Canis lupus familiaris: one gene and its partner. The protein of the gene in region 1 interacts with the protein of each later gene in a biochemical or structural test. Links are inferred from orthologs where the notes say so. Each region holds a gene or a part of one and is shown in the gene's direction. Other genes may lie near its edges. The genes, in order: ANXA7 and SRI.

Region 1 (4,519 bases):
TGATGGGTGAAGTGCAATGTATCAGAATCAAATCAGGAGACAGAAGCCACACAGTAACAAGGGACACAAAAGTTTCCAACTTAGTAGGCTGGTGGTGAGAGTACCTAAGTCTAAATGCCTAGCTTCATGCTAACTGCTGAGAAATCTAAGATGGCTTCTGCCCTTAAAGTGTTTCCAACTTAATAGAAGGAGACTGACATCATTAAGCGCAATATATTTCCTTACTCAGCAAATGAAAAAATTTGCATTTTAAAAACCTTAGTGAAAATCCCTTAGGATAGTGCTATAATGGGATTCTAGCACATGCTCCTCTCAGCAGGTCTGTCAGAGCCATTTTTTCCCCCTCCAGTATTGGATATAAATCTCTGCTTATTTGATCACCAGATCAAATGTTAGTCTGGATTTTGGGGGCCATTCATTTGGGGGAATGATTTTTTCTAAAGAATAAATTGGGCTATGTCATTCCCTTGTTTCAACTTCTCCAAGAGCTTCCCTCTGAAACCAGAAAAAATCAAATTCCTGATGAGGAAGCTTTTGGGTGGAGAAGCATGTAGAGTAATAAGTTGATGGTTCTCAAACTTAAGTGTGCATTAGAACCACCTGGAAGGCTTGTTAAATTGCCAAGCTCCACCCCTAGGGTTTGATTCAACAGATCTAAGGTTGAGCCCCAAATTTGTATTTCTAACAAGTTTCCAGGTGATATTGCTGCTGCTGGTATGGGGACCACGCTTTGAGAACCACTGTAAAGGGAAGCTGGTTTTTGCTCTGGAATAAACTTTTTTAAGATTTTATTTATTCATGAGAGACACAGGGAGAGGCAGGCTCCCTGCAGGGAGCCCGATGTGGGACACGATTCTATGACCCCGGGTTCACGCCCTGAGCCCAAGGCCGACGCTTAACCACTGAGCCACCCAGGTGCTCCTGGAATAAACTTTCTTAATGAGTTTAAAATACCGGTCTGAGCCCTTGAAATTACGTAAGATATTTAATGCTAGTGTGGGCGTCAAATTTTAGGGCTCTAGTGTGAGGGAAGCCTCGTGTCACCCAACAACCCGTTTAGAGTGGTTTTGATTGACGTATCTCGATATCTGAGTAGCATCCCCAATAAGAATTAATTCATTTCATAGGGATCTAATAAAAGTCACGATCTTTATCCTTTACAAGGCCTCAGGGGAGGACAGTAAATCAGGCGGAGGGGCCGCACCTGGACGCCCAGCCGCCCATCACGGAAAGGGCTCCGGAATTTCTTAAAACCGCTGTGACTTGAGAGAGCCCCCAACGGAATTAGAGAAACGTGACAAAGCCGGCCGGTGCCCGGGCAGGCCGCGTCTCCCCACAGGTGGGGCTGCGGCGCGCGGACGACGCGACAGCCTCGGGCCCGGCGGGCGGCCCCGCCCCCCGCACCAGGGGCGTTCCCGCGCTCCCACCGGGCTCGGGCGGCGGCCGCGGCGCTCCGCCTCTGCGGGCCCGCCCCCGGCTCCATCTTGCTGGCGACCAGGGTCGGGCTGTGACGCTGTGACGCTGCTCCCCCGGGCCAGGTGAGGAACGGCGCCCCCTACCCCTCCCGCCCCCCTCCCGCGCGTCGCCTCGCTCAGGCCCGCTGAGGCCCGCGGTCCGGGAGGCGGCCGGGCCCGGCGCGTGTCCCCGCGGGGGGAGGGGGGTCGGCGGAGGGGCCTGCGGGGCGGGGGGCGGCTCTGCGCGCGTCTCGCGACCCGGGCTGCCCGGCGGGGGCGGGGGCGCGGCGGCGGGGCGGCTGGGCGGCTGGCCAGCCCGCGGATCCTCCGCGGCCCGAGGGTCAGAGGGAGCAGTGACACAGGTGGGGGTCTGAGGCCACGGCCCAGCTGAAGTGACCTCAAGGCAGGCTGAGTAGGGAAACCCGCAAGGAGCAACAACGAAAGCTGACGGGCGGGGATCCCCGGGTGGCTCAGCGGTTTAGCGCCTGCCTTTGGCCCGGGGCGTGATCTTGGAGACTCGGGATCGAGTCCCACGTCGGGCTCCCTGCCTCTCTCTGTGTGTCTCTCATGAATAAATGAAGTCTTAAAAAAAAAAAAAAATGGCTGGTGACTGGACTTTCCGGTGACACAGCAAATTTAGGGAAATTTGTCAGGCGCCTCACTAAGCCTAGGACAGAATGCCCAAGCCTCAGATTGTACATTGCCTCAAGGAGACTGTTCTGGGAGATAACATTCCAGATTGGATTCCTGGTCCCTGAACAGCAAGCGTCCCGAGAGAACACTTCCTCTGCAGAGAAAGAGAGAGATGGAATGTACCCCATCAAGTGACAGAAATGAGAAGTCCTGACGGCCTTTAGACTCCCTGGTTTATTCTATCTCGTAGGGACCTGATCTGATAACCTGCCCTAATGAGAGCTAATGAGTTACCTTTCAGACACGGAAGGAGTTTCAGGCACTAGTTGGCCGCTCCAAATTTAAGCTGCTTTTCGGTCCTCACTGATGGTGGCTGCCTACGCTCCCCTGAAGTCCCCGCCGGCCCTCCCTTTAGTTCTTCATCCAAGGGCCCTGACTGACAGATTTAAATTGTCCTTCCTGACCAAGAGGCGGGTTTCAGAAAGCTGTAGTATCTCCTGTTGGCCATCTTCTCTTCACTTGCCCTTCCTGTTTTGTATTTGTTTCATAGATCTGCAACAGCTGCCTCTTGTGTTCCTTGGACTTCTTGCCATCTTGAGACTCCTATAGTGAGACCCACCCCTTTTAGTAACTGACTCACTGGGTGGAGATGGTTTGGAGAACCAAGAATGATTTCTAGTCTTTTAAAAGTAGTTGCAGATCGAGAATGTTAAAAAGGAAATAAAAGGTCTTGTTTACCAGTATAGTCGTCTTTATTCCTTGGGCAAAATGAGTAATTTGTTGAGTCATCCTGGGATTTGTTTAGTTTTTTGCAAAGGCTTTTTAAATCCGCCTTTTGAGTAGATGATACATGCACAATTCCGAAAGAGCTAAAAGTACATTGAAAATTGAGTTTCCTTCCCATGATGCCTCAGCTCGCCTCCCTAGAGGCAGCTACTGGTTTCTGCTTTTCTGAGAATACTTTCAGGGATAGTCTCTTATACGTAGAAGCAAATATATCTTCTACGGTTATAGTTGCAGTTTATCTATGCAGGGTTCACCTGGCCTTTTTTCCACACTTAATATGATTTAGAGATGGTTTCATATGGATTTTAAAAAACTGAATTTTATTTTTTATTAAGTAATCTACGCCCAACATGTGGCTTGAAGTCAAGGACCATGAGGTCAAGAATCACATGCTCTACCAACTGAGCCAGCTAGGTACCCCAAAAGCTGCTCGTTTTTAATAGCTATGTAACACTTCATTGTCCGGAATCCATTCTACCTGTACTTTATTGATGGACTTTTATTTATTCTAAAGATTTTATTAGAGCGAGTGAGCATGAGCCAGGGATAGGGTGGAGGGCTCGAGAGAGAAGCAGACTCCCCGCTGAACAAGGAACATGAAGCAGAGCTCCATCTTGGAGCTCAATCCCAGGACTTTGAGATCATGATTTGAGCAGAAGGCAGCCACTTAACCGCCTGAGCCACGCAGGTGCCCCTTGATGGACTTTTAGATTGTTTTTAATGTCTTCTATTACAAATAGTGCTGTAGTGAAGAGCCTTGTACATGTGTAATTTTACATTTGTGCAAATAAGGTACATTCCCTGGAAATGAAATTGGATTCTAGGACTTTTATAATTACATTCTTCAGAATGTACCCAAATTCACCTTCTTAAATTTGCTTTAAGTTTTCTTATATGCAGTGCTTGCTTCAGCAGCACATATACTAACATTGGAATGATACAGAAAAGATTAGCATGGCCCCTGCACAAGTTTTCTTATATGCAGATAGTCTTTACTTCATTTTTATTGTGTTTTGAAACTTGTTGACATAATTTCTCTAGGCCTTTAGGGGTAAGATTTAATATAGTAGTTAAAGAATGTAGAAATAGGACTTTGTCACTGGAACAATTCCTGAGATTTAGAAATTTAAATGTAGTCTTTGGTACTGTTAACTAGTTGCCTTTAAAATTTTTCTCAAAATTATCAGATTTTTTTTCCCCTTTCTTTTGACACTGACTCTTTTGCCGTTGGTCCATCTGATTGTTCTAAGATGCTGTTGTCCTTTTATTCCTTATACCAAACATTCTTAGAGAAGAAAGGAAAAACTGATTTAGCCTCTTCCTATTTTCACATCTGAGCGTTTGAATTCCAAATGATTTAGAACTGACTGGATCAATTTTCTTACTATCTTTCCTATTAACTTATAATTTTGACCCAATATTGACCCAATATATGCCCATTCATTCTCAATTTAGTGTTTTTAGCTTCTATCTTGTGCTTATAAGAGACACTACAATAAATTTTTAAGATTTTACTTATTTAGCTTTTTTTTATTTTTTAAGATTTTATTTATTTATTCATGAGAGACGCAGGGAGAGAGAGAGAGGCAGAGACACAAGCAGAGGGAGAAGCAGGCCCCATGCAGGGAGCCCGACATGGGACTCGA
Region 2 (3,814 bases), on another chromosome or scaffold:
CCCTCTCTTCCTACTCATCGTGGTGAATTGAGCTCACTATATTATAGTTTCAAAGGCATGAAGATTATAGACCTTTAAAAAGATGATTACATAGAAAGTGTTACACCTATCCAAGAACAGAGGTAATGATGCAGTGAACTTGTGTGCACCTGTCACCCAGTTTCAGTAATTATCAATGTGTTGCCATTGCTACTTAGTTCATCTGTAATTCTGTCCATTTTCTTTTGAAGTAAATTCCATATATCTTACAACATTCATTTCACCTAGAAATAACTTAAGTGTTTACTTTTCTAAAAGATAAGGACATTCTCCTCTCAATTTCAAAACCATTATCATACCTAAAAATATTAAGAGTATAGTGCAATACTTTTTAAAAAGATTTCTATTAAAGTTGTTAAAATCAAGTTTGTGTTCATTTTTTTGTTTTTAAGATTTTATTTGAGAGAAAGAGCATGAGAGTGGGTGAGGGGCAGAGGGAGAAGCAGACTCCCCACTGAGCAGGGAGACCGACATGGAGCTCAACCCCAGAACTCCAGGACTATGACCTGAGCTGAAGTCAAACGCCCAACTGACTGAGCCACCCAGGCACCTCTCAAATTTAGGTTCTACAAGGAATCCCCACTACCTGGAAAAAAATCTCCTTCAAAGCTCCATGTACTTTAGTTCTACATAAATTAAGTAGTATATAAAAGTAAGAGTACATAAATAGTCACTTTCCTAATTAATTTCAATGTATGCAATGTAATGTGAATTTTTGAAACTGTATTAATATGTATGTACTTTCTTTGATTTAACAGCTTTTAACCTGGAGACTTGTCGGCTTATGGTTTCAATGCTGGATGTATCCTTTGATTGCTGCTGGAAGGTTTTTTCCTGACCACCCCTCCCCCAAAAATTTTCTCCTAAAAGAATTCATCTAAGAATTAATACCCAGTAAATATAAGGTAACAAAAGACCACAAAGTTCTTGAAATCATTAACTTTTAACATGTAATTTGGTGCAAAAAGGGAAGGGAGTTTAGTAGATATAGTGTTGGTTATTCAGGAATTCAAGGAAGCATCAGAAGAGAACAAGTATAGAAATCAGGGTGAAATCAGGGTTTATCGTTGCTTTATCGTTGTTTGCCCCACGTGATTCACACCTGACCTTCACACTGTGGAATTTCTCACATCACAGTTATTAGACTCAGCTTAGCCTGTACTGATCCTGCAGTGCCTTCCATCCCACCTCATTTTCCAAAAGTGAAAGCCCCAGGTCTGGAAGGGCCTGCCAGGGGAGTGCCTGGACCCCAGCAGCAGTGCCGAGGGCACTCAGAAAGTGCAGTCGGGTTCCGGTAACGAGATCCCTTTCCACGTGTGGCCCACAGTGCCCACTTTACTCCCTTGTAATCACATCTCACAGGTGATCTGTACTCTGAGGTTTTTCACCATAGGCTCTTTTCATTATATGGTTAGAGTATCCTTTCATTGTATCACATCAAGAGGGACTTGTAACATTTTTAACCTTTTTAGCAGAAAGAATGTTAAACTCCCTTACCCTTGAGCTTTGGCTTAATCATTAGAAAATGTTGCCAAATAAAGGTGCTCTAATCCTTAATTACGGTTCAGAGAGATATGTCAGGCACAATGGGTTTCAATGAATTTAAAGAACTCTGGGCTGTGCTGAATGGCTGGAGACAACACTTCATCAGTTTTGACAGTGATCAGAGTGGAACAGTGGATCCTCAAGAACTGCAGAAGGCCTTGACCACAATGGGTGTGTATGGCTGACTCCAGCCACCGCAGACATCATTCTCCTTTCATTTCCAAAACCAAGTGTTACGGACTCCTAACTCTGGGAAATGAACTAGGGGTGGTAGAAAGGGAGGTGGGCGGGGCGTGGGGGTGACTGGGTGATGGGCACTGAGGGGGGGCACTTGGATGAGCACTGGGTATTATTCTATATGTTGGCAAATTGAACACCAATAAAAAATAAATTTATAAAAAAAAGGCAGTTTCTGTTTTCTAGAAGTAGTATATGTTCATAATGAAGTACATAATACATATGTAATTCCTAGTGTATATTCATAGTTAAAAATGAGTACTCCCAGACTGAAAAAATTGTGATGACTTTTAATGATCTTTTTCTTACACTTTACCTTTTTTCATTCCTCAGGTTTTCGTTTGAGTCCCCAGGCTGTGAATTCAATTGCAAAACGATACAGCACCAATGGCAAGATCACCTTTGATGACTACATCGCCTGCTGTGTCAAACTGCGAGCCCTGACAGGTGTGTTCTTTGAGGTGGTGTTCACCAGGGTGTTTGTAAAGTGTTTCTGAACTTCTGTTGCCCACAATCTTTTCTCCCCCCTAACCTCAGTGGCTTTTTAAACACTGCTAGTAAACGTGTCTAGCAGAATAACTTTTTTTTTTTTTTTTTTTTTCAGAAATCCTTTCAGATTAGTGGTAAACTGCTTTTAAAATAATCTTAACTAGGGACTCCTGGGTGGCTCAGTGATTGAGCATCTGCCTTTAGCTCAGGGCGTGATTCCCGAGACCCGGGATCAAGTCCCATATCAGGCTCCTTGCGTGGAGCCTGCTTCTCCCTCTGCCTATGTCTCTGCCTCTTTCTGTCCCTCATGAATAAATAAATAAAATCCTTAAAAAAAAATCTTAACTGAATTTCACAAAAATGTTCCAAAACATGATCAGCTAATTTGTGCATTTTTTTATCAGCATATGAGCGGTACTCTGTGATTCCTCCCTAGAATATAAAATATTTGAAGAGAGTGAAATTACTCATTAGCTCTCTCTCCTAATTCCTTCTGTTGGAAAGTAGTTTAAAGCTGTGGTCATCTGTTTCAAATGTATGGACTGCTTAGATGAGGTTGTATCAGTAATCTCTACTTTCTATTTCCTTTGTTCTTTTTCTTTTTTCTGTATATTTTTCTATTTTTCTTGTTCCATTCCTCTCTTTAGTTTCTCTCTTTTTTTTTCGAGGCTTGAACTTAGGACCCTGAGATCAATACCTGAGCTGAGATCAAAAATCAGATACTTAATTGACTGAGCCACCCAGGCACCCCAGTCTTTACTCTCTTTAATACCTGGGTTTGTAATTTCTTTTGCATCCTAACAAAAGTATGAGGCCAGGTTTTTTGTTTTTGTTTTTTTTTTAATTAAAGTAAATCCTTTTCAATAGCACAGAGCTCAGAGGGGTGGAATATTTTTTATAGCCCATTTGCCATATTAGGAACTCCATCCATCCATTTTCCTAAACACTATCTGTGTTATTAAGAAGTTTGTAGTTTGGAGGCATCTGTGTGATGGAACAGTATCATCTGTTATTTCTGCACTGTATTACTCTGTTGTATATTAAATCTATCCACGTTATTATAGTTGGCTTCTTTACTGTGGGCTTTTGTTTATGTTGGCTGATTTTACAACTCAAATACTACTGCAGTTTGAACCCAATGCCAAAATAATTTACTGTTGTGATGTCAGATGTTTAAAAATAACCATAGATTTTACTGTGGTGTTTTATAGACAGCTTTCGAAGACGGGATACTGCTCAGCAAGGTGTTGTGAATTTCCCATATGATGATGTAAGTCTCACTAAATTCGGAACTGTAAAGATGAATAAGATGTACGCCAGTTGGGCATCCGTTTTGAAGTTAGCCATGAAGAGCATCTTAAGGATGCTGAGTAATCAAGGATTAAATGATTAGGAGTTACCATTCAGAATTTATTAATTTCATTTATTACTAGTCTTACTCATATAGTTCACTTTGACTTTCATTAAAAGACTTGGTTCGGAGCCCAGCTGGTCCCATTTACTG

What was found.
Region 2: the proteins of ANXA7 (region 1) and SRI interact in a biophysical measurement, tested with the Homo sapiens proteins (2 studies listed by BioGRID and IntAct, with this or other methods). The link is inferred for Canis lupus familiaris from reciprocal best matches to the Homo sapiens genes ANXA7 and SRI.

What each region holds. Positions count from the first base shown.
Region 1 is NC_049225.1:24,691,908-24,696,426, reverse strand, and holds the start of ANXA7 (annexin A7), read left to right. Parts: upstream 1-1,432; 5' UTR 1,433-1,538; intron 1,539-3,772; exon of another isoform or gene 3,773-3,877; intron 3,878-4,519. UniProt on the Homo sapiens protein: Calcium/phospholipid-binding protein which promotes membrane fusion and is involved in exocytosis.
Region 2 is NC_049235.1:14,241,534-14,245,347, reverse strand, and holds part of SRI (sorcin), read left to right. Parts: intron 1-797; coding exon 798-841; intron 842-1,607; coding exon 1,608-1,755; intron 1,756-2,154; coding exon 2,155-2,268; intron 2,269-3,521; coding exon 3,522-3,580; intron 3,581-3,814. UniProt on the Homo sapiens protein: Calcium-binding protein that modulates excitation-contraction coupling in the heart. Contributes to calcium homeostasis in the heart sarcoplasmic reticulum. Modulates the activity of RYR2 calcium channels.